Drosophila melanogaster: one gene and its partners. The protein of the gene in region 1 interacts with the protein of each later gene in a pairwise test. Each region holds a gene or a part of one and is shown on either strand. Other genes may lie near its edges.

Evidence for each region.
Region 2: the proteins of Cdk5 (region 1) and Tengl3 interact in a two-hybrid assay, tested with the Drosophila melanogaster proteins (one large-scale study listed by BioGRID).
Region 3: the proteins of Cdk5 (region 1) and Nubp2 interact in a two-hybrid assay, tested with the Drosophila melanogaster proteins (one large-scale study listed by BioGRID).
Region 4: the proteins of Cdk5 (region 1) and Sf3b3 interact in a two-hybrid assay, tested with the Drosophila melanogaster proteins (one large-scale study listed by BioGRID).

What each region holds. Positions count from the first base shown.
Region 1 is NT_033778.4:15,568,689-15,573,581, reverse strand, and holds Cdk5 (Cyclin-dependent kinase 5), read left to right. Parts: upstream 1-2,164; 5' UTR 2,165-2,279; coding exon 2,280-2,447; intron 2,448-2,511; coding exon 2,512-2,699; intron 2,700-2,859; coding exon 2,860-3,224; intron 3,225-3,286; coding exon 3,287-3,450; 3' UTR 3,451-4,043; downstream 4,044-4,893. Other genes in the region: CG8204 (uncharacterized protein), read left to right, coding at 1-132, 191-393; CG30466 (uncharacterized protein), read right to left, coding at 656-769, 825-1,904, 4,044-4,067; Flo1 (flotillin 1), read left to right, coding at 4,412-4,463, 4,756-4,831. UniProt on the Drosophila melanogaster protein: Probably involved in the control of the cell cycle. Interacts with D1 and D3-type G1 cyclins. Possible regulator of neuronal differentiation and/or development.
Region 2 is NT_033779.5:2,236,380-2,240,233, forward strand, and holds Tengl3 (testis EndoG-Like 3), read right to left. Parts: upstream 1,873-3,854; 5' UTR 1,829-1,872; coding exon 1,658-1,828; intron 1,596-1,657; coding exon 753-1,595; 3' UTR 697-752; downstream 1-696. Other genes in the region: Sec24CD (secretory 24CD), read right to left, coding at 1-162; Tengl2 (testis EndoG-Like 2), read right to left, coding at 1,967-2,749, 2,813-2,986; Tengl1 (testis EndoG-Like 1), read right to left, coding at 3,092-3,854.
Region 3 is NT_037436.4:20,524,333-20,528,410, reverse strand, and holds Nubp2 (NUBP iron-sulfur cluster assembly factor 2), read right to left. Parts: upstream 1,836-4,078; 5' UTR 1,758-1,835; coding exon 1,647-1,757; intron 1,574-1,646; coding exon 1,131-1,573; intron 819-1,130; coding exon 590-818; 3' UTR 501-589; downstream 1-500. Other genes in the region: Pss (phosphatidylserine synthase), read left to right, coding at 2,585-2,925, 3,898-4,078. UniProt on the Drosophila melanogaster protein: Component of the cytosolic iron-sulfur (Fe/S) protein assembly (CIA) machinery. Required for maturation of extramitochondrial Fe-S proteins.
Region 4 is NT_037436.4:827,187-835,558, reverse strand, and holds the start of Sf3b3 (splicing factor 3b subunit 3), read left to right. Parts: upstream 1-2,173; 5' UTR 2,174-2,299; intron 2,300-2,349; exon of another isoform or gene 2,350-2,497; intron 2,498-2,583; 5' UTR 2,584-2,618; coding exon 2,619-2,844; intron 2,845-2,919; exon of another isoform or gene 2,920-3,072; intron 3,073-3,151; coding exon 3,152-3,517; intron 3,518-3,550; exon of another isoform or gene 3,551-3,689; intron 3,690-3,768; coding exon 3,769-4,243; intron 4,244-4,316; coding exon 4,317-4,651; intron 4,652-4,830; coding exon of another isoform or gene 4,831-4,838; exon of another isoform or gene 4,839-4,937; intron 4,938-5,047; exon of another isoform or gene 5,048-5,122; intron 5,123-5,217; coding exon 5,218-5,525; intron 5,526-5,566; exon of another isoform or gene 5,567-5,707; coding exon 5,708-7,681; 3' UTR 7,682-7,682; intron 7,683-7,715; exon of another isoform or gene 7,716-7,795; intron 7,796-7,861; 3' UTR 7,862-7,913; intron 7,914-7,938; exon of another isoform or gene 7,939-8,022; intron 8,023-8,089; 3' UTR 8,090-8,136; intron 8,137-8,175; exon of another isoform or gene 8,176-8,247; intron 8,248-8,322; 3' UTR 8,323-8,372. Other genes in the region: CG42553 (uncharacterized protein), read right to left, coding at 95-172, 229-780, 841-1,167, 1,224-1,382. UniProt on the Drosophila melanogaster protein: Involved in pre-mRNA splicing as a component of the splicing factor SF3B complex, a constituent of the spliceosome. SF3B complex is required for 'A' complex assembly formed by the stable binding of U2 snRNP to the branchpoint sequence (BPS) in pre-mRNA.

The DNA of each region.
Region 1 (4,893 bases):
GGGATTCGCCCCAATGTGCGACAAGGGAGTCCGACTTGAAAAAGACTGAAGTTGGCTACCAGGAGGAACCTACGCTTCATGTGCCCTTCCCCACCGACGACACAGTTGCCGCGGAGAAGCTCCAGCAACTAGGTAGGTGTTTAAATTCGCAATTATACACATTTCTCATAGTATGATGGTTTCCGTACAGAAAACTGCCAGGAACTGCGTAATTTGCTCCACAATCCACACCTGCGTTCGCTGCTCCAGCAGATTGATGTGGCCATCAATGCCCAGTCGGCCATGATGGCCGCCATGCAGGAGCCACTCTTCGTGGAGTTCGCTAATGCCTGCCTTCAAGTCGTCGAACCGATGACGGATGCTGAGCGCACTGAATTTGAGTTGTACTCCTGAATTAAGTTGACACACAGTCTCAATAAAACTAAGCCTTTATTTTGTAACTAATAGTACTGTCAATCCTTGGCAGCTTCTAGAGGAGCTTGCATTGAAGAACTCCTGGAAACTTCTCATTGAAATCCGCCGGTAAGGTTGAATCTTTTCCATAACCAGGGAAAACGTACAACTAATTATTTGGCTCGGCCATTTAAAGTTATCTATCTCAGCTGGCATATCAAACTAGTCATCAGTCTACAGCTTCGTTCCTTGGCAATCAAACTCAATCAAAGTAAATTGAAACTGGATCCGAGTTAAAAGTGATTTTTGGATGCTTCATGTGCAACTTGAAAAGCCTATGTTCCCCTTGCACTTTCCAGGTCATGGGGATGGGATCCTGTAATGAAAAATATTAGAAACGAAAGCTAATATAAGTTGTGAAATACTTAGACCTCATTAGACATGAGATACGTGTTTAGTTCCACATAAATATTAAGTGCTGTGGTACGGTTTTCTCCCAGTTTCTTCGCATCGAATGTGAACTCCTTAAATCCGAAGGTGCAATGGTATATACCCAGGACCTCGTGTGTGTTTAGGTTTTGTATTAAGGTATGAAACTTAATTTCGTCCACACAAACCGAATTTTGTATATAAAATTCATTGACATTAATGTGAAGATGCTGATACGCATGCATACCAAAATTAGCCACCTTTAGGGTCTTAATAGCCACATTTAAACCGTAAGTTTCACAAAATATGGATGTATTTTGGCTTATCTCGATCATATTTATAGTGCTTCTCTTCGCAGCTATGAGAATCTCTCTCAGAAATCCGTATCTAACGTGACCACAAAGAAATAGCTTCTTCAAGTGAGTTAGACGTTCCAGTTTCGATAGGAACCACACCATCATTTCCTCCTGGAAGCACTGCAGCTGCTCTAGGTTTCTAATCCCTTTCCAGGGCAGTTCTGTGTTCGAAATCTGGTCAATATCGAAGATACCCAGCTTCAGGGATTTTATTTTTCTGGTTTTCAGGATCTGTATCAAGTTGGTGACATTGAATTTGCTGCAGTAGGAGACCGTGAGGTTCTCGAGAAACTCGAATTCATCAAAGTGTTTGCCAGTAAACTTTCCATGGGGGCTAAAAGTTGTCAGATTTGGAAAAGTTTTCAACATTCTTGGCACGTCCGCATCGTTTAAGTTAAACGAATGCGTGGAAAATCGAAAATCTTTAAGTTTTGGAAAACTACAGCTGGTAAGTGTTTCGAAGTTAGATCTATTATTCATTTTGAGCCGCAGAGTGCTGAGGATTTGTTGAGTACTTTCCAGGAAGAATAGCAAATCCTTGTCGCTCAGCTGCATTTCAATCAAGGATATATATGCACATTTGTTATAAGCACGCCACACATACGGCATTAATTTCTTAAACCGGAAATGAAAGTCTTTCAGTTTTAGTTGGGTCTTCAAGTCGAGATAACTTAGAATTATCATTAGAACATCATCGGGCAGACATAGTAAGCCAGGCTTGGTATTCTGCAAAGGGCAAAAGAAATTAGGAAACTTGTATACTTATATTTCTGCTATATTGTTGCATTGCGGTACCATAAGATCGGTGTTTATCATTGTCGGTCTATATTCGTATGTTTAGCTAATATCGAGTCCAAATAAAACAATAAAATTATAACAAAAGTTTTATCAACATTTTTAAAATGATATCTGTTAATTTTGAGTATTTTTGGTGACAGCAGACTGTCAGCTGCGATGTTGGTTAGTCACCGCGTGCTGTAAGCGAATAACAGTGTGCTGTTAGGCGCACGAATCCCTGGCCAGCAAAAACAAACTGCAAAAACAATAATCCCCGGAGTTTTCCATCTGAACGCAAAATAATACACACCAAAACACAGCAAAATGCAGAAGTACGATAAAATGGAGAAGATCGGGGAGGGCACCTACGGCACGGTGTTCAAGGGTCGCAACCGCGACACCATGGAAATAGTGGCCCTGAAACGGGTGCGACTGGACGAGGACGACGAGGGTGTGCCCAGTTCTGCCCTCCGGGAGATCTGCCTGCTGAAGGTCAGTCGGACGAGCAGGAAGTGATTCCAGTTTATAAACTAAATCGGCACATTACCATCCGTAGGAGCTGAAGCACAAGAACATTGTGCGCCTCATAGACGTCCTGCACTCGGACAAGAAACTCACCCTGGTCTTCGAGCACTGCGACCAGGACCTCAAGAAGTACTTTGACAGCCTCAACGGGGAGATCGACATGGCCGTCTGCAGGAGCTTTATGCTCCAACTGCTCCGCGGACTGGCATTCTGCCACAGGTATACCTATATATGTATCAGCACTGGATTAGGTCTTATCTTGTGTCGATTATAGTTAGAATCAAGTGTTATTTGGAGTAACTTCATCTGTGGCACATTTCCGAATGATATCCATTTTATAGCATTGAGACTTAACTTACGCTACATTATCCTATTTTAGCCATAATGTCCTGCATCGCGATCTGAAACCACAGAACCTGCTGATCAACAAAAACGGCGAGCTAAAGCTAGCTGACTTTGGTCTCGCTAGAGCCTTTGGCATTCCCGTGAAGTGCTACTCCGCAGAAGTGGTGACCCTGTGGTACCGACCACCCGATGTCCTATTTGGAGCCAAGCTCTATACGACCAGCATAGACATGTGGTCCGCTGGATGCATTTTGGCCGAACTGGCGGACGCTGGACGACCGCTGTTTCCTGGCTCTGACGTGCTCGATCAGCTGATGAAGATCTTCCGTGTGCTGGGCACCCCCAACGAGGACTCCTGGCCAGGAGTTTCGCACCTCTCCGACTACGTGGCGCTTCCATGTAGGGATTCTAGACGGATTTTATTTATCGATACCAATATTAAAAGCCTATTTATATTATAGCTTTTCCGGCCATCACCTCGTGGAGTCAGCTGGTACCTAGGCTAAACTCCAAGGGACGCGACCTGCTGCAAAAGCTGCTCATCTGCCGGCCAAATCAGCGAATTAGCGCGGAGGCGGCGATGCAGCATCCCTACTTTACGGACAGCAGCTCTTCGGGACATTGAGGTCGGAAGGTTCTTTCCAAGCCACTGTTTTCACGACCTTTGATTAGACTTAAGCCAAAATGCGAGACTTTGTCCAGCAAAGATCTTTTAATTATATATGTATGTCCTTGCAGTAGAGTTCGATTATAGTATAAGATAAAAAGTTCTTTATAATTTCATTAGTTTGATTTACCAAAGCAAAAGGTTTGATTTATGACAATCCCTACCAATGTGACACTTAATATAGCCATTTGAGCTGCCAAATTAACATTTATCGATAAAATACTTATTGATTCAGTAAAATAGTTTTATTCTTAAAAATTTTTATGTTGAGTGTATCGTTAAGATCCGAAAATTGTTCAAATTCCTAGACGATATCTACTGTTTGTGTGAATGTGGAAAAAATATTTGAAATCCTAGTTTCTGTTTTCAAAGACTAAAAACTAGGCAATACATCTGGTTTCCAAATTTAATGAGTGTCGACGATTTTCTTATTACATTTATTGTGTATTTTTAAGAATTTCGATCTTTCTGAATGATATGAGTCATTAAGTAAATTAGAATAAAAAAAATTGAGATGTAACCTAGATTTTTAAACCAATAAAGACACTTACCGCAGCACTACGTCGTCGCAGCATGATGAATATTTTGAAGTGGTCGCCTCAACCCCCGGCACTCAATAGGGGTTAAAGTCGTTCTGCGCACTCGCGAGTTAGAAATTGAGAACTTTACAGATTGAGAGATTTTTTTATTGTGCTACGAATTGCTAACCGAACCGGTCGGATTTCTGAATCTTAAGCACCGAGTACCTCGGAAATTCTTTTATATATATTATTAGACGAATAAACAAGGCTACCTGTGGATCGGATAATTCGCTATATAGTTAATAATCGGAAAACTGTGTTAACCGCGCAGATAAAACAAAAGCTGTTATCAGCAGCAACCCATTTTCTAATATAAATAACAAATAAGTGCTGCAGAAATGACTTGGGGATTTGTAACCTGCGGCCCCAACGAGGCTTTAGTTGTCTCTGGTAAATCACACGATCCTTATATGCTCAAAATAATGTCAAATCGATTAAATAAATAAGTCAGTGAATAAAAATGAAATTGTCACGCACACACACATATATATACACCCCACCCCAAGTGACGTCACTATCGATTTTTGTGTACCGCAAATGTTGTTGTTGGGATAACAGGGGAAGAAGCTGAATATGCGGCAGTCCGAAGCCATGCGTGCGCATTTGAACGGCGTTGCGGTGCTGTTATCCAAATGCTGCAATGTTTTGTAAACAAAGTGTTTTTTGTTTGTTTTCTGCGCAGGGTGCTGCTACATGAAGCCGCTTTTGGTGCCGGGAGGACGAGCATTCGTTTGGCCAGTGGGCCAGCAGGTTCAGCGGTGAGTTTTAACCGGCTTAGACCAGGGGTTCCAACGAAAAGCCACAGGTTAGGGAGGCGCTA
Region 2 (3,854 bases), on another chromosome or scaffold:
TTGTTGTTGCTGCTGCTGCGGAGGCAGTTGTTGCTGCGGCGGCTGCTGCTGCGGTAGTTGTTGTTGCTGCGGTGGCCAACCTCCGGAATTCGGAGGAGGAGCCCCAAACTGGGGTTGCTGCTGGAACTGCGTGGGCGGTGGCCCGTACATATTCGGATTCATTTCTGGCCCGGATTAATCACCTGGGTTTTAGCGGAGAGGGTCGACGCTAAGCCAACAAACAACTTTCACGGAAAACGAAGAGAAAACACACACGGATTGGCTCAAAGTTCGCCACGGCGATTTAGCAATTTCGGGGGCTGCTCGGCCTGATTCCTGACCACTGACTCCTCGATTTTGGCCACTCGGTGTTGGCCTCAACTCTCGACGGCCGCGGCGGACGATCGCTGGTTGAAAAACAAGAATAATTTCGAGCTAAACGAACTTCCACGTCAGTTCCCTAATTCGATCTTTTTTGCTCTTTTTGCCTTGCCACGTAAGCTATCGGTAATCGGCAGTGGAAAATCGAATGTCAATCGATTGTGCTCTTTCGGCTGCCATCGCCGAATCGATAATCGTGTTGAACTTAACAGCGCTGCTGTTAGCGAACAGCTGCGAGTTATGTTATGTGTAAGGTGGTGCAATAGAATGCAGTGACGTCATTAAATACGTTGGGTTAAAATAAATAAGTGAATAAGATATAATCAAAGTACATTTAAAATAAATATGTATATTTTCACAATTTTATCAAAATATTCCTTACATTCAGGGGTTTATATTAAATTTAATTTCTGGTCGGGAGGAAATGTTACCAAAGGCTCAGAAATTTCCTCCAACCTGCCGGCCCAAGCCCTGGTGTCCACCGTAAATGAGTCCTTCCCGAATTGGACTACGGGTTGCATGATCTTGTTAAATCGCAGTCCTGTGTAACGCTCTATTTCGCCTACTTTGACGCGGTGGTCATTCAACTTGCCGCCAACCCTTCGGCTGTTTTCGATGATAAATGCTTCCATGAAGGGTTGGGATCCCGGAACTCCACTCTCCACGATTAATACCTTAAAGAAATGGGATGGCACTGGTATCGGAATCCAGTCAAACACCTCATACTTCATGGTCCATTTGCCAATCTCGTAACATGTTGGGGTGTATATCGGCCCAGTGTAGGCGTACACTGAGCCAAACTCCTTGGCCATGCTGGACACGTAGTTCTCCAGATCGTTCCAGATTTTCCGCTTGAACGCCTTGCATATGCTCATCGAACCGCAGCTCAGCACATACACATCATTGTAGCGAAGATTCATGGTGCTATATCCGCCTCCATCCGACGATACCCTTTGATAATCCCCACGGAAATGCTCACAAATCCATCTGACGCCGTTCGTGCGCAGGTCCTGCGAAACCACGTAGTCCTTATGGACGTACAAGTTCTCCGTGCTGGGCAGTCCATACTTGACTAGGTCGAGCAGATCAGTTGTGGTTGCCGAATCCCATTTCAGCGTCACAGTAGCACTAACTAAATCGAGGATCGGTGATAATACCAGCTCCCTGAATTTGTCGGCCCATGAAGTAGGACGATTCCACAAACGGGCCTCATGGTCTGTCCCAAAGGTGGATAACTTGTGGGAAAATATTAGAATTAAAATCTTACAAACATTTCTAACTTTTTCATATCGCTCACCATCGGATATAACTTGTGACGATGATGGTAGACATAGGGATCCCTTCGAATCTGCTGGAGCAGCTGCCTTATGGACGCCTCTTGTTGGACAAAGGCTCCACACACAAACCCGGTTACTCCCGCAAGGGCACATAAAGCCCACTGATGAACATTTGATTCGCTAAAGGACATAAGTGGGCCTTACAATAATTTCGTGTAGTGTTTCTTTGATGAAGTGTGTAATGTAACAATTTGTCGATATGTCAGTCGGAAGAAGATAGCCTGCTTGCAGTTAAGTTAAATATATATTTAACGATTGGGATCCCTCCACTAACTGAATTCGCGAAAAACTCGAGATTCACTTGGATAATTGCTGCCGAATAGGGCACTCCTTCTCAAACCATCGAAGAACTTGAGACCTGCGTAGTGCTCAATCTCCCGGATGTCGCAGAGAAACGATCGTAGTGGCAGACCATCTGGTATTGGAGCATTGGGCAGGACATAGCCCTCCATATAGGGTTTACCCAGGTGCAGTTTTGATTCCACCATGATCACCTTGAAGAAGTGCGTCGGAACTGCAACCATATTCAGTCCGATCATCTCGTACTCCACGGCCCACTTACCTCCCGGTCTTTGATTGGGCTTATATAGTGGACCAGTACACACGAAAACGGATCCAAATCGGTGGACCAGATTTCGAACATATTGTTCCAAGTTGTTCCACGCGCTTCGGTTGAAGCCCTGGCCCACTTGTGGGGCAATATTCGTTAGGAAAAACGTATCCTCGCAGTGATTCTGTTGCAGATGGTGATTTCCTGCGGCTGCCAAGTGTCCTCGGTCGAATCCAGATCTCCGATAGTCGCTCAGTTCCGATCGGAAGTTGGAGGGAACACTCAAATCCGGCTGGTATGGGTTGCGACCACGTCTGCCTCGATTCGGATGTATGCTGTCCGCCTGGAGGTGCTCGCACACCCAGTGGGCCACTCGGTTTCGGCGATCGTAGGATAGTACGAAGTCACTATACAGACGCAAGTCATCCAGGCCAGGGAACCCAAACTTCATGATCTGCCTCATCCGGTGATCGTCTTCATTATTGCTCTCAAAGAAAGTAAACTGGTTAGGGAAATTATTTTGGTGCAAGTGTTACTTATATTCTTTTACTACAGTATTGGTTACCACTTCATAAATTTTGGGACTGAGATAGTAGGCATAGGGATCCGTTTGTATTAGTTCCCGCAGGCGTTTTCTGGCATCTGTGTGCTGAAAATACATTCCACCCACGAAGGATGCACAGAGCGCAGTCACTCCCAGGACGAAACCCAGTCCCAGGAGCTGCCATTTTCGGTCCATGAAATGGGCTCTGTGAATTACCCCTCAAAAGCAAATAAAACATTGTTTATCTGAAGGATTTCTCATGGCCATCATTGTCTCCTTCAACATATATGTATTTATATTCTATTTTGGAGAAATACTTGATGTGAGGGCACTGTGACTGTCTAAGGCATTAGTCATCGGCAACGTTAACGGATTTGTTAAAGGACCGTTTACTGAGGGGACAAATGAATTTGATGCTTGGGTGTTGACAAAGTTGCGGTCGAGTCCTTCAAAGAACCGTAGACCAGTAGCGTTTTCTATTTCCCGGACATCGCTGAGAAGCGTCTTCAGTTCGACATTGTTGTTCAGCGGAGAGTTGGGCATCACATAGGCCTCCGCATAGGGAATGGTATCGCCCGCGAACTTCTTATCAATGACCAGGATCTTGAAGAAATGGGTGGGTACGGCCACCATGGTTCTCTCCTCCGACTGGAACTCCAGGAACCAACTGTTCGACTTTAGCTCCCGGGGCAAGTAAATTGATCCGGTGTAGGCATACACGGTTCCATGTCGTTGACTCATCTCATGGACGTACTGCAGCAGTCGATCCCAGACAGTGAGATTGAACCCTCTGTTTAGAAAGGGCCTAATGTTGGACAGGAAAAATACCCTGGCTGCCTCCGACTGTCCAAATGCTCCAGCTGGAGCCACGGATGTGGAATCCCCGTAGACGACGCGATTGGACAGATCTACCCGCTCGCACATCCACAGAATCGCAGAGTTTCTTCGATCGAAAGAGGTCACAAAGTCAAAGGTCTCATTTATGGTGATATCATTGGTGCTGGGGAAGCCGTACTTCATGATCCCGCCCAGCTTGTGGCAGTCATCGGTATCCACGTCGAAT
Region 3 (4,078 bases), on another chromosome or scaffold:
TCTCAGTTTATCAGTTCGTTTTTTCTCTGTGTGAATTCCATCCTCCTGCAGACTGATTTTTGATCTTAAAAATTATACCAAAACAGTGGATGAAGTCTGCATGATAGTACTACTTAGGAAAAGAAACTATACTTTGTCGTCAGTCCAGAGATAAGCATACAATTTGATCTTTAAACTATGCTCAAATCAATAAATAAAGCGATTAGGTTTAGCAGTAGGAGTTAAGCAGTTAAGGAATACGTTATTAATTATAATTGGAAAGTATTAGTTTGATTGTAAATTATAATTACTGCACACGCAGAATTGTTGCATTAGAGTGATTACATATCAAACGCTCGCACTCATATAATTTTAAATTATTATACCCAAAACTCATCAACTACATTCATTCCAAAGCATACAAAAATAAAGAAAAAGAAACCAAAGCTAAACAAAAGCTAAAATGTGTTTAACAATGGGAGTCCCTATTTAAGTTTACCAATTAAATACCATGGCAAATTAAATCGTTTCCTGAAGAAAATGGTTATATTCATAAACTGAATAATGAAACAAGCTATCATATTTACAAAATTGTTATGTTGGTATTTATTTAGGAGACCAACATCGTTTTCAACTTCTCAACTATATGCGTCAGCACCTCCGCTGTCGTGGAATCCGGAAGCTCATCCAAGACGGACGTAGTGGTGCCCGCCAAAATGCCAACACGGGGATCTATGGGCAGAGTTCCTAGATGTGGTACTTGGGCGTAAGTGGCCAGTGAGACGCCACCGTTTGACGAGAATATATTGGTGCACGAGGTGCAATGGGGGCACACGAACCTGTGACAATCAAATATAAGATAATTTAGTCAAACATGAGATAATTATCACCTGGTTAAAGTCCACAGGTGTCGCCCTGCCGTAAACTTGACACGCAAAGGCGTCCAATTAATATCTATGTATATTTGCATTTTCAATTAGTCAGCATCAAATACAGTAGAAATGCTTATCAGAAGCTTGTAAAACTCTTTTCAGTCAGGGATGGATATCGTTCTCGTTGCATTGCATTGGAGTTCCAATTTTTTGAGGACAAATTAAAATGAATCCTATTTTGTTGTCTGTCTTGCGGCTTAACAAACTCAAATAACTTACCCACTCATATTCTCGACGATGCCCAGGATATTGATGCCGGTCTTCTTGCAGAAGGTGATCTCCTTGCGTACATCGTCCAGGGCCACCTCCTGCGGTGTGGTCACAATTATGGCTCCGTGGCAACCAACCTCCTTCAGGCACTCCATTACGGTGATGTGCTCATCCGAAGTGCCGGGTGGCGTATCGATAATTAGGTAATCCAGCTCATCCCACCTGACGTCGGTGAGGAACTGCCGGATCATCATGGTCTTTTTGGGACCACGCCAAATGACCGGATCCTCACGGTTCTTCAATAAAAATCCAATGGACATCACCGCCAAGGTTTGGGATTCATCTGTATAGACAGGAACCCATCCATCGTCGCACTGGAAGATATCCCGTCCTTCCAGACCCAATAGATATGGCACACTCGGTCCACACAGATCTATATCGAGCAGACCAACCTAATAGATTGTTCATATGAGTACCATTCAAAATTCATCGGTAATGTTTTTGTGGTGAAATGGTTTGGCTTACCTTAAATCCGTTTTTTCGCAGTGCCAGCGATAATTGGGTGCTCACTGTGGATTTTCCTACTCCGCCCTTGCCTGATAGCACTACGATAACATTTTTAACCTTGTCCAGCATTATAAAGCGATTTAAAAGCAATTTATTCCGAAACCAATGCAAAGTCGTGGATTGCGTTTTAGTCAACAAGTGCAATCAGCTGTTCAGGGCTACAGTCATAGCATTAGGGGTGTTCCAGGATTCCACTATGTTGAAATATCCAATCTGAATAATGTTATGCGTGACCTCATTATTATTTGACTGTTTGTAAACAAAAAATCATTTTATCCTCGGGAATGCCATAAATGCTGCCTAGAAAGTTATTATATAGAAAAAATAAGGTAAAGAACTAAGTTATATAACTAACGCTATATAACTCTAAAATAGTGACAATATAATCTTGTTATAAAGTAGGGTGATGACTGCTTTTCGAATACGATCTGAAAATATACAAAATATTTGTCATCATAAGATACCTGGATCACCCCCAACGTTCCGCTATTCATCTGGCAACGCCCCTGTTATCAAGTCACACATTTCAACCCTCCGGCAACACCACCGCCGGCAAGTGTCGATTTTTATTGGTCCAAGCCGCGCGCAGCATGTTAATTGACAACAACGGACGGTAGCTGGCAAATGATAAAATAAACGTGCGCCGATCGAACGCGAGTCGAGGATCCAGGAGCCGTGCCCACGCCATAGCAATCGAGGTCACTCGAGCCGGGAGCCATAGAAACCGCTGCGAGGAGAGCCGAGTGGCAAGTCTTGGTGGAATCGAATCGAATGTTGCGCAACCTTCAGTCCCCGCATGTACTTAGCCACCAAACCGATTCCGAGCCACCAACCACCTAACAACAACCACATCACGCCACCCGCCTACATTTGATAATCGAATTTGTAGTTAGGCGATGAAGAAGCGCACTAATTCACGTGGCACCCCGACCTCGTCGGGCGACGCGCTACTGGACACCTCCTTCTCCTCCGCCGGCGATGCTGAGCGGGATCATCCCGCCTACAAATCAGGCGCGGCCAGTGCCCCTGCCACGCCCACCAAGCGACGGGATGGCAGCGATGGCAGTGTCAGCAGCGCGGGAGCACGCAGGAAGCGCAAGGACGAGATCGCCCAGACATTTGTGATCGTCAACGAACGTCCCGTGGACGACATATCGCTGGACTTCTTCTACAAGCCACACACCATCACCTTGCTGGCTGTTTCGGTGCTCGCCGTCATGTACTTTGCGTTCGTCAGGTGAGTAGATGAGCCCATGAGCCCGCAGGGGAACCCCTTCGTGATAACCAATGAAGGTTATTCGATCCTTAATACAACGCAACTTCATTGCGAGCTCGCAATCGGTTCACTTGTATTCATTTCGATCTTAGAACTTTGCCTTTGTCAGCTGAGATAGCATTGAAAAATCGTTGAGTTTTGCTTGTTAACCCATTGGGTGTTTATGCGGGTTTGGTGCGCTCGTTAGCTTCATCTTATTATATTATATTATATTATATTGGGTATTCCTTGAACCGACAGAATCTTTAGATAAGAAAGAGTTTGTAAATCCATTTCTGTCAGTACTGATTACTATGAGAGGCACGTTTAGAACTATAGTACTGGTCTTAACCCTTATCAGTATTACATAACTGTTCTGTAGTAAATCCCCTTAGTAACAATAGTTTATTTGCATTGGCTGGTAGCGAGATAGAACCAATTATTCAATGTATCAGCATCTTCAAAAGGTTTCATTTGTTATAATTATTTATAAATTTTTTATAATTATAATTGACGTTTCATCAAAAATGATTGGATTTCACTACCCTGTTAAGTCCCTTATCGCCAAAAAACTTTCGATGAAATCATACTTTTTAATCATATATCTGCACCATGTGCCTTCTTAGTTCACACATCAATTGATGTACACGGGTTAAGCACTTAAAAATATCACGAATACTCTGCCAAAAGTGTCAACTCAGACAGCCGAAGGTTTAAAAAAGCCAAAAAAAAAAAATAAAAAAAATTATATATATATGCGCTAGTCTAGCGAACAGTATATAAAAGTAGAATCGCCTAAGGCACATACGTAATGTACTCGACGTTCACTTCATCGTGCCATTGACCCCCAAACCCCATCGAAAAACGTGCTATGCTGATAAGGAATACTATGACTGAAATAGTAGCGCTAATGGAAGCCAAGATCATCCATTTAGCAATGCGCTTTCGTTACAGAAACGAGGCGAACGTGGATGAGAATCTCTGGGCCGGCCTCCTCTGCATTGTGTTCTTCTTTCTGATCGTCTCGGTGATTGCATTTCCCAATGGACCCTTCACACGACCCCATCCCGCCGTCTGGCGGATATTATTCGGATGCTCTGTGCTGTACCTGCTGACGCTACAATTCCTGATGTTC
Region 4 (8,372 bases), on another chromosome or scaffold:
TCTTTATTTAATAATTATAACAACTTTGTGTAGAGCAGTTTTTGAAAAAAAATCACATAAAATTTATTTGAATAGCCTTAACGCTTATTGGTTTTTAAAGCGGTCTTCCTGTTGCCTGCTTACCTTCGGTAAGTGCAACTGAAGCGTGTACAAAAACAGGCACATTGATACCCTGTAAAGCACAGACATTAAAGACAGGACAAAATCACATTTTCCATTCATGCATACCTGCATCTTAGCTGATCTCACAAAGGCCTTATTCGAAGTCACAGTGAAAATTTGCCTGGCCATGCCGAAACTAAAGATTTTCAGACTTCGCTCGTTTACGTTGGCAGTGAAACGTATGTGGGAGAATTCTTCGGGTATTGTTTCCACATCCGGATAAACGGTGACCCGTTTCATCAGTTCCTCGGCTCGCTTCCGTTCGCCCTCGCCGCCTACAATATCCAAAATACTCTGGAAGGCATCGTAGGCTAACTGGCAGCAGACCAAGGTTTTTCCCTCTAGGATTTTCTCGAGGAGCGGTTTTAGCGGCGAGGCTCTTTCCCTTTCCGCCTGTTCGGTGAGCAGAGGTTCCTTGTAGACCCAATTGGCGGATCCGTTGGTGAGCGCACTAACGTAGGCCAGCAATGTGGTCACATCTAGATTCAGTTCGTTCGACGTCGTGGCGTACATATCCAAGTCGGTGTCTGGTGAGTCCAGGGAAGCAGTTTGTACGCCCATTTCCATTAGCTCTTCATGCAGGGAGTCCTCGATTTTGTTGGAGAAGTAGAATACTATCTAAAAGGCAGTATATCAGATGATGAATGCTGTCTAGGGTAGCATACTATTAGGCATTACCTTCGGCCTCTGGAACATGCAGAAACTAAGTTCGCTGGCCTCCAGATAATCCTCCGCCTGGTCGATGACACTTCGGGCTCCGATGCTGACACATCCCCTGGCCGCGTCCTCGACGGACTTCGAGTTCCTGGCTATCACCTTCACCCACTTGAGTCCATTGTTGGCCACGATGTCGACTCTCAGGGGACTATCCCTAGACTCCAGGCGGAATACGGCATTGATGTCGACTACTCCTTGTTGCAAACGCAGAGTTTTAATGAGAAAATCGTAGTAAACAAAGTTACTGCTGGTTATGTGGTGTTCCTTTACGGACCTTGTAGTAATCACCTTGAAGGAAAATGCTTTTACTCAATGTTTTTATCATGAAAAATAGGCAAACAAACCTTATTTAGAAATTTGAGCTCTTGCTGAATTTTTCGCTGTACTTTGCTGACACCAGGCAAATCTTCGAAGTCTTTCAGCGCTTTCTTCAGCTCCTCGCCCAGTTTTACTTTCTTGTGGGCTTCTTCGTAGAGCTTTTCTCGATCCTCTTGCTCCTCCATATTAAAACGTTAGCAATATTTACAAAAATCACGAAATATTTGTTTTTAGCTGTCAGCTGTTTTGAAGAAGCAAAGATGCAATGACATTTCAGGTTTTACAACACTGACAATTCCATGACTGATTAGAGATGTCGCGAATCTGAAGTTGGTATATCGATAGTCAACAAACCTAGTTTACTAAGTAATAATTGATGATTTTTCTAATTAGTCTAATAACATGAGCCAACGCCGCGTAAAAATATACTCAAGTAGAGATCGAATAAACAGAAAAAAATAGTTGGGGACTGATCTATTTATTTTTTTTAAATACCTTTAAAGTTTTCTCCTTAATCATACCTTAATAGCATAGTATTGAGCCCAGCCCTTTAGCCACAATTCGGTGAGTGGTTTTGTTTTCATTTAAGCCCATGATAAAAATTTTTTAAGTTAAAGAAAGATAAAACGATTGATCCAGTACATATTTTTACAGATCCTTGAAATTTTCCATTTTTTCACAGAAAATTGCATATTATATGTTTAGCTTTTGAGGCAGTTTTTGGTATGTGGAACTGGGATTGGCCCATGGCAATTTCCGAATATTTAAATGTGGTATATTTAATAAAGGATAAATTCGATATATCTTGACCAGGATTTTTAGGAAACTTATGATTTCTGCAGCAACAATTTCCAGTAAAATAATTATTTAATTTATAATCAGTCTGAACCGGGCCTATTATCGATAGGAAAATCGACGGCCGCGCACTATCGATAAGTCAAGCCACATTTTATGCACCACCATTTTTACTTTTATAGTTCTTTTACTTTTTGTCGGCGAACAGAGCAGATGTGAAAATGAAGAGTTCTGAGTAATCAGGAAAATTCGAATCCAAAGGCATCGCTGGTGAAATGTGCTAATTCATCCATTTAACCAGCCGAAGGTAAACAAATACACGTGCTAGCACTGATATCTACTATTATTTAAGCGCTTTCCGCACGAAGTATCTCCAGAAATCAGAAATGTCTGTGCTTTGGTCGCATTTGAAGCGTGCTAAACTAAGAATTAAATGCTGCTTACTAGCATCGTTAGGCGACACGACTTTCCATACTGTGGCCATGGTTTTCAAAGTAGTACAAATTCACAAAAAAAAAAATACACCGCCATTCACGTGACTTTTTCCCTTGTCTGCAACTGTACCTAACCTCAACATTGCTTCTCTTGCAGTCGTGGACAAAAGTGAAAGAGTGTAGTGCTCCACCATGTATCTGTACAACCTGACCCTGCAGAAGGCCACCGGCGTGACCCACGCGGTCCACGGCAACTTCTCCGGCGGCAAGCAGCAGGAGGTCCTCCTGTCGCGTGGCAAGTCGCTGGAGCTACTGCGTCCGGACTCCAACACCGGCAAGGTGCACACCCTGCTCTCCACGGAGATATTCGGATGCGTTCGCGCCCTGATGGCCTTTCGACTGACGGGCGGCACTAAAGGTGAGTCTTTCAATTGTAATTTAGTTTTGTACCATCAATTGGGAGTAATGTATTGCTCCTATATAATCTATGTAAGTCGCACAAATCCCTATTGAGGCAACAGACGGCTAGTTGACCCCAGTAAGACCTTTGAACGCGTCTAAGTGCGAGAGAAACCGAAAGACTTGACGTCGCATTTGCCATAAACCAACTCAACGGAGTGGCGAATTGAAACTTCGAGTTACAAAGTCAATAAAATATCATTATAGTCATTAGAAAGTGTTAAATGTATGACCCTAATCTCGAATATCGTTACCTTGCTTTGCAGATTACATAGTTGTGGGCTCGGACTCGGGACGCATCGTGATCCTCGAGTACAATCCCTCCAAGAATGCTCTTGAAAAAGTGCACCAGGAGACGTTCGGAAAGTCGGGATGTCGCAGGATTGTGCCTGGGCAATACTTTGCCATCGATCCTAAAGGAAGAGCCGTGATGATTGGCGCCGTGGAGAAGCAAAAGCTGGCCTACATCATGAACCGGGACACGCAGGCTCGCCTCACGATCTCATCGCCCCTGGAGGCCCACAAATCGAATACACTGACATACCACATGGTCGGCGTGGATGTGGGCTTCGATAATCCCATGTTCGCCTGCCTAGAGATCGACTACGAAGAGGCCGACATGGATCCATCGGGTAAGCATCAACTAGGTGGCGTGTAGACCCTAGAAGGCGCTTTAATTCACAGGTTTAGTGGATCCACACCACGAACACTGACTGTACTTAGTGCCAGATAAATCGTGATCACTGAACCATTGGTGTTGCTGTAATTGCCTAGCCACACTTCACTGATTTGTGACCCACACTTCCTAATCTCAATTGATAACATTTTGATAGTACAATGCTATAGTCCTGTAACTAATCAGTGTCGCATCTATTTGTTCCAGGTGACGCCGCCCAGCGCACTCAGCAAACGCTGACTTTCTACGAGTTGGATCTCGGCTTAAACCACGTGGTTCGCAAATACTCGGAGCCCTTGGAAGAGCACGCCAATTTCTTGGTATCCGTGCCTGGGGGCAACGATGGTCCTTCGGGCGTGCTGATCTGCTCGGAGAACTACCTAACGTACAAGAATCTCGGCGATCAGCACGATATCCGCTGTCCCATTCCGCGCAGGAGAAACGATCTGGATGATCCCGAACGTGGTATGATCTTCATCTGCTCGGCCACACATCGCACCAAGAGCATGTACTTCTTCCTGCTGCAGACCGAGCAGGGAGACATCTTTAAGATCACCCTGGAAACGGACGATGATGTGGTCTCCGAGATCAAGCTAAAGTACTTCGATACAGTGCCGCCGGCAACTGCCATGTGCGTGCTAAAGACGGGTTTCCTGTTCGTGGCCAGCGAGTTTGGCAACCAGTGAGTATCTACAAATCATTCATTTGAGAATAATATGAATGGGTACTAATTGAGGTATTTGTGTAACCCTCAGCTATCTATATCAAATCGCTCATCTGGGTGACGACGATGACGAGCCGGAGTTCAGTTCGGCCATGCCTTTGGAGGAGGGTGAAACCTTCTTCTTTGCGCCACGTGCCCTAAAGAACCTGGTGCTTGTGGATGAACTGCCCTCTTTCGCACCGATCATCACCTCCCAGGTGGCTGATCTGGCCAACGAGGACACACCGCAACTGTACGTTCTTTGCGGACGAGGACCGCGTTCCACTCTGCGGGTGCTGCGCCACGGCCTCGAGGTGTCCGAGATGGCCGTTTCCGAACTGCCTGGTAATCCCAATGCGGTTTGGACTGTGAAGAAACGAGCTGATGGTGAGTGTGTCTGCGGGCATTAATCATGATTCCTAAGCTAAGATTAGACTAAGACTGAAACGTGGCTAATAACTCAACTGGTGCATTGATACAGATCGAGATATAGATTACACCTAGCTTTACGCACGATTCCAAACAAGTCCCACAAGTTATCAACCACCAGTTCTCTCTTATTTCAGGCGCTTAAACACAGACGGCAATATGTGTGAACTATCGAAAAAGACAAGCGATTAAAGAGAATTTCTCTCGTTTGTGTAATTTTAAATTGTCTTTTGTGAAGCGATAGGTAAGGCAACATTTACTGCAGCTCATAAGTCAAACAGATACTACAACTACCACTGCTACTATACCAATGAAAACAGAACAAAAGCTAACTATATTTAAGCCAGTCGGACATTGAACATGATGCGATATTTATCAACCGTGTTTCAGCTGAATTATCCATTGATTACAACTTGATAAACTGATTATTCAATGTCTTGTGTGATACGCAGATCTTTTTCGCTTGCTCGATTCAAACTGAAGTACTCACGTTCCAAGTATTGTTTTGCTCCCCTATTTTTTAGACGAGTTTGATGCCTATATCATCGTGTCCTTCGTGAATGCCACCCTGGTTTTGAGCATTGGCGAAACCGTCGAGGAAGTCACGGACAGCGGTTTCCTGGGCACCACGCCCACGCTCTGTTGTGCCGCCCTGGGCGATGATGCGCTGGTTCAGGTTTACCCCGATGGCATTCGACATATCCGATCCGACAAGCGTGTGAACGAGTGGAAGGCTCCGGGCAAGAAGTCCATTACCAAGTGCGCCGTGAATCAGCGCCAGGTGGTCATCACCTTGTCGGGCAGGGAGTTGGTCTACTTCGAAATGGATCCGGTAAGCAATTCTACTACTATATTACACTCAACTGTTGACTTCTTGCTCTGATGACAAAAACACGAAAAGAACAATCATGTTGAGACACTATGTGTCCTGCAGTGCTGAGCTTCAAAATCAACCAAAAGCCTTATCCTCGTTTACTTAACTTCACAACTAATGAATACATTTTATGCTTGCAGACTGGGGAGCTGAACGAGTACACGGAACGTTCCGAGATGCCTGCTGAGATTATGTGCATGGCCTTGGGAACTGTTCCGGAGGGCGAGCAGAGATCCTGGTTCTTGGCCGTCGGCCTGGCGGATAATACAGTGCGCATCTTATCGCTGGATCCCAACAACTGTCTCACTCCCTGCTCCATGCAGGCCCTGCCTTCGCCAGCCGAATCCCTTTGCCTGGTCGAAATGGGTCACACGGAGAGCACGACTCAGGGAGGTTTGGATGACGATGCTCCCGCTCAGCGCAGTGGCAACAATAAGGGAACCATTTACCTAAACATTGGCTTGAGCAACGGTGTCCTGCTGAGAACTGTGCTCGATCCTGTTTCCGGAGATTTGGCAGACACCCGAACGAGATATTTGGGTTCCCGACCCGTAAAGCTCTTCCGGATCAAGATGCAGGGATCCGAAGCGGTGCTGGCCATGTCCAGTCGAACCTGGCTGTCGTACTACCACCAAAATCGATTCCATTTGACGCCTCTGTCTTATGAAACCCTTGAGTATGCTTCTGGCTTCTCGAGCGAGCAGTGCAGCGAAGGTATCGTGGCTATATCCACCAACACCTTGAGGATCTTGGCCCTGGAGAAACTGGGAGCCGTCTTCAATCAAGTAGCGTTCCCCTTGCAGTACACTCCACGTACCTTTGTAATCCATCCGGATACGGGACGCATGCTAATTGCCGAAACCGATCACAACGCCTACACAGAGGATACGAAGAGTGCCCGAAAGGAGCAAATGGCGGAGGAGATGCGCAGTGCAGCTGGCGATGAGGAAAGGGAGTTGGCCCGCGAAATGGCCAATGCTTTCATCAACGAAGTCCTTCCCGAGGACGTGTTTTCGTCGCCCAAAGCAGGACTGGGTCTTTGGGCCTCGCAAATCCGTTGCCTGGACGCAATGCATGGTCAGACGATGTTTAGTGTGCCGCTCACCCAAAACGAGGCCATTATGTCGATGGCCATGCTGAAGTTCTCCATAGCGGCTGATGGCCGGTACTACCTGGCCGTGGGAATCGCCAAGGATCTGCAGCTGAATCCCAGGATTTCGCAAGGCGGCTGCATAGATATCTACAAAATAGATCCCACTTGCTCCAGTCTGGAATTCATGCACCGCACGGACATTGACGAGATTCCTGGAGCCCTGTGTGGCTTCCAGGGTCGTCTACTAGCTGGCTGCGGTCGAATGTTGCGAATCTACGATTTCGGCAAGAAGAAAATGCTGCGCAAATGCGAGAACAAGCACATTCCCTATCAGATTGTCAATATCCAAGCCATGGGTCATCGTGTTTACGTGTCGGATGTTCAGGAATCAGTATTTTTCATACGCTATCGTCGCGCGGAGAACCAGCTGATTATATTTGCCGATGACACGCATCCTCGATGGGTGACGGCCACCACCTTGCTGGACTATGATACCATAGCCATAGCCGATAAGTTTGGCAACCTGAGCATTCAGCGATTGCCCCACTCCGTAACGGACGATGTGGACGAGGATCCAACGGGCACCAAGTCTCTGTGGGATCGTGGCCTGCTGTCAGGTGCTTCACAGAAGTCGGAGAACATTTGCTCCTTCCATGTGGGCGAGATAATCATGTCGCTGCAGAAGGCAACGCTAATTCCTGGAGGATCGGAAGCCCTTATATACGCCACGCTAAGTGGCACTGTTGGAGCATTTGTTCCGTTCACCAGTCGCGAGGACTACGACTTCTTCCAACATCTGGAGATGCACATGCGCAATGAGAATCCTCCACTCTGTGGACGCGACCATCTCAGCTACAGGAGCTCGTATTATCCGGTCAAAAACGTACTCGACGGCGATCTCTGCGAGCAGTATCTGTCCATTGAGGCAGCCAAGCAGAAGAGCATAGCTGGCGACATGTTCCGCACTCCCAATCAGATCTGCAAGAAACTGGAGGATATTCGCACGCGATACGCCTTCTAAGGTGAGTTGGAATCGATATGCCTATGGGACATAGGTTTTTGTGATGACATAGCTATTTTACCTTGGGACACCTATGAAATGCCTTGATTAGCGTAAACGTCAATATCTGATAAATACTTTGCTGAATTTAGTCTTTTATGATTATTGAACAGAAAGCTAACAATTGTTTATATTTTGCAGATGCCAGCAAAGGAACACTTCAATATCATGGAAACTTTTCTTTTTTAACTAGGTAAGTTGGTTTCTATTTATAGTTGTTTTCAATGATGATTTTCGAGTTTTACCTTGGGACACCTATGAAATGCCTTGATTAGTGTAAAGTTATGTTTTTCTGATAACAAATTCAAGCGTTTATTGATTGAAAAGCAAAGAAATGTTATTAATTTTGTATTTCTCTTTCTATTGCAGTTTTCGTGGGCAAAACCAACAAACGCTGCACCTAAAACGTTTTAAAGGTAAGAAATTGTAACGATTAAGCCACATTTTCGTTGAGTTAAACAATGATGTTATTTTACATATGTTAGACTAATGAAATGATTTGATTGTAAATTAGTAACTGAGAATGTTTTTAAAATTAAAAATTTCAATACTTATTTATGATAATTACTGGATCGATTAGTAAATTGATGCTTTCTTTGCAGTTTAATCGGAAAATTCCAATGACCATTAGACCATTACATTAGGAACACTT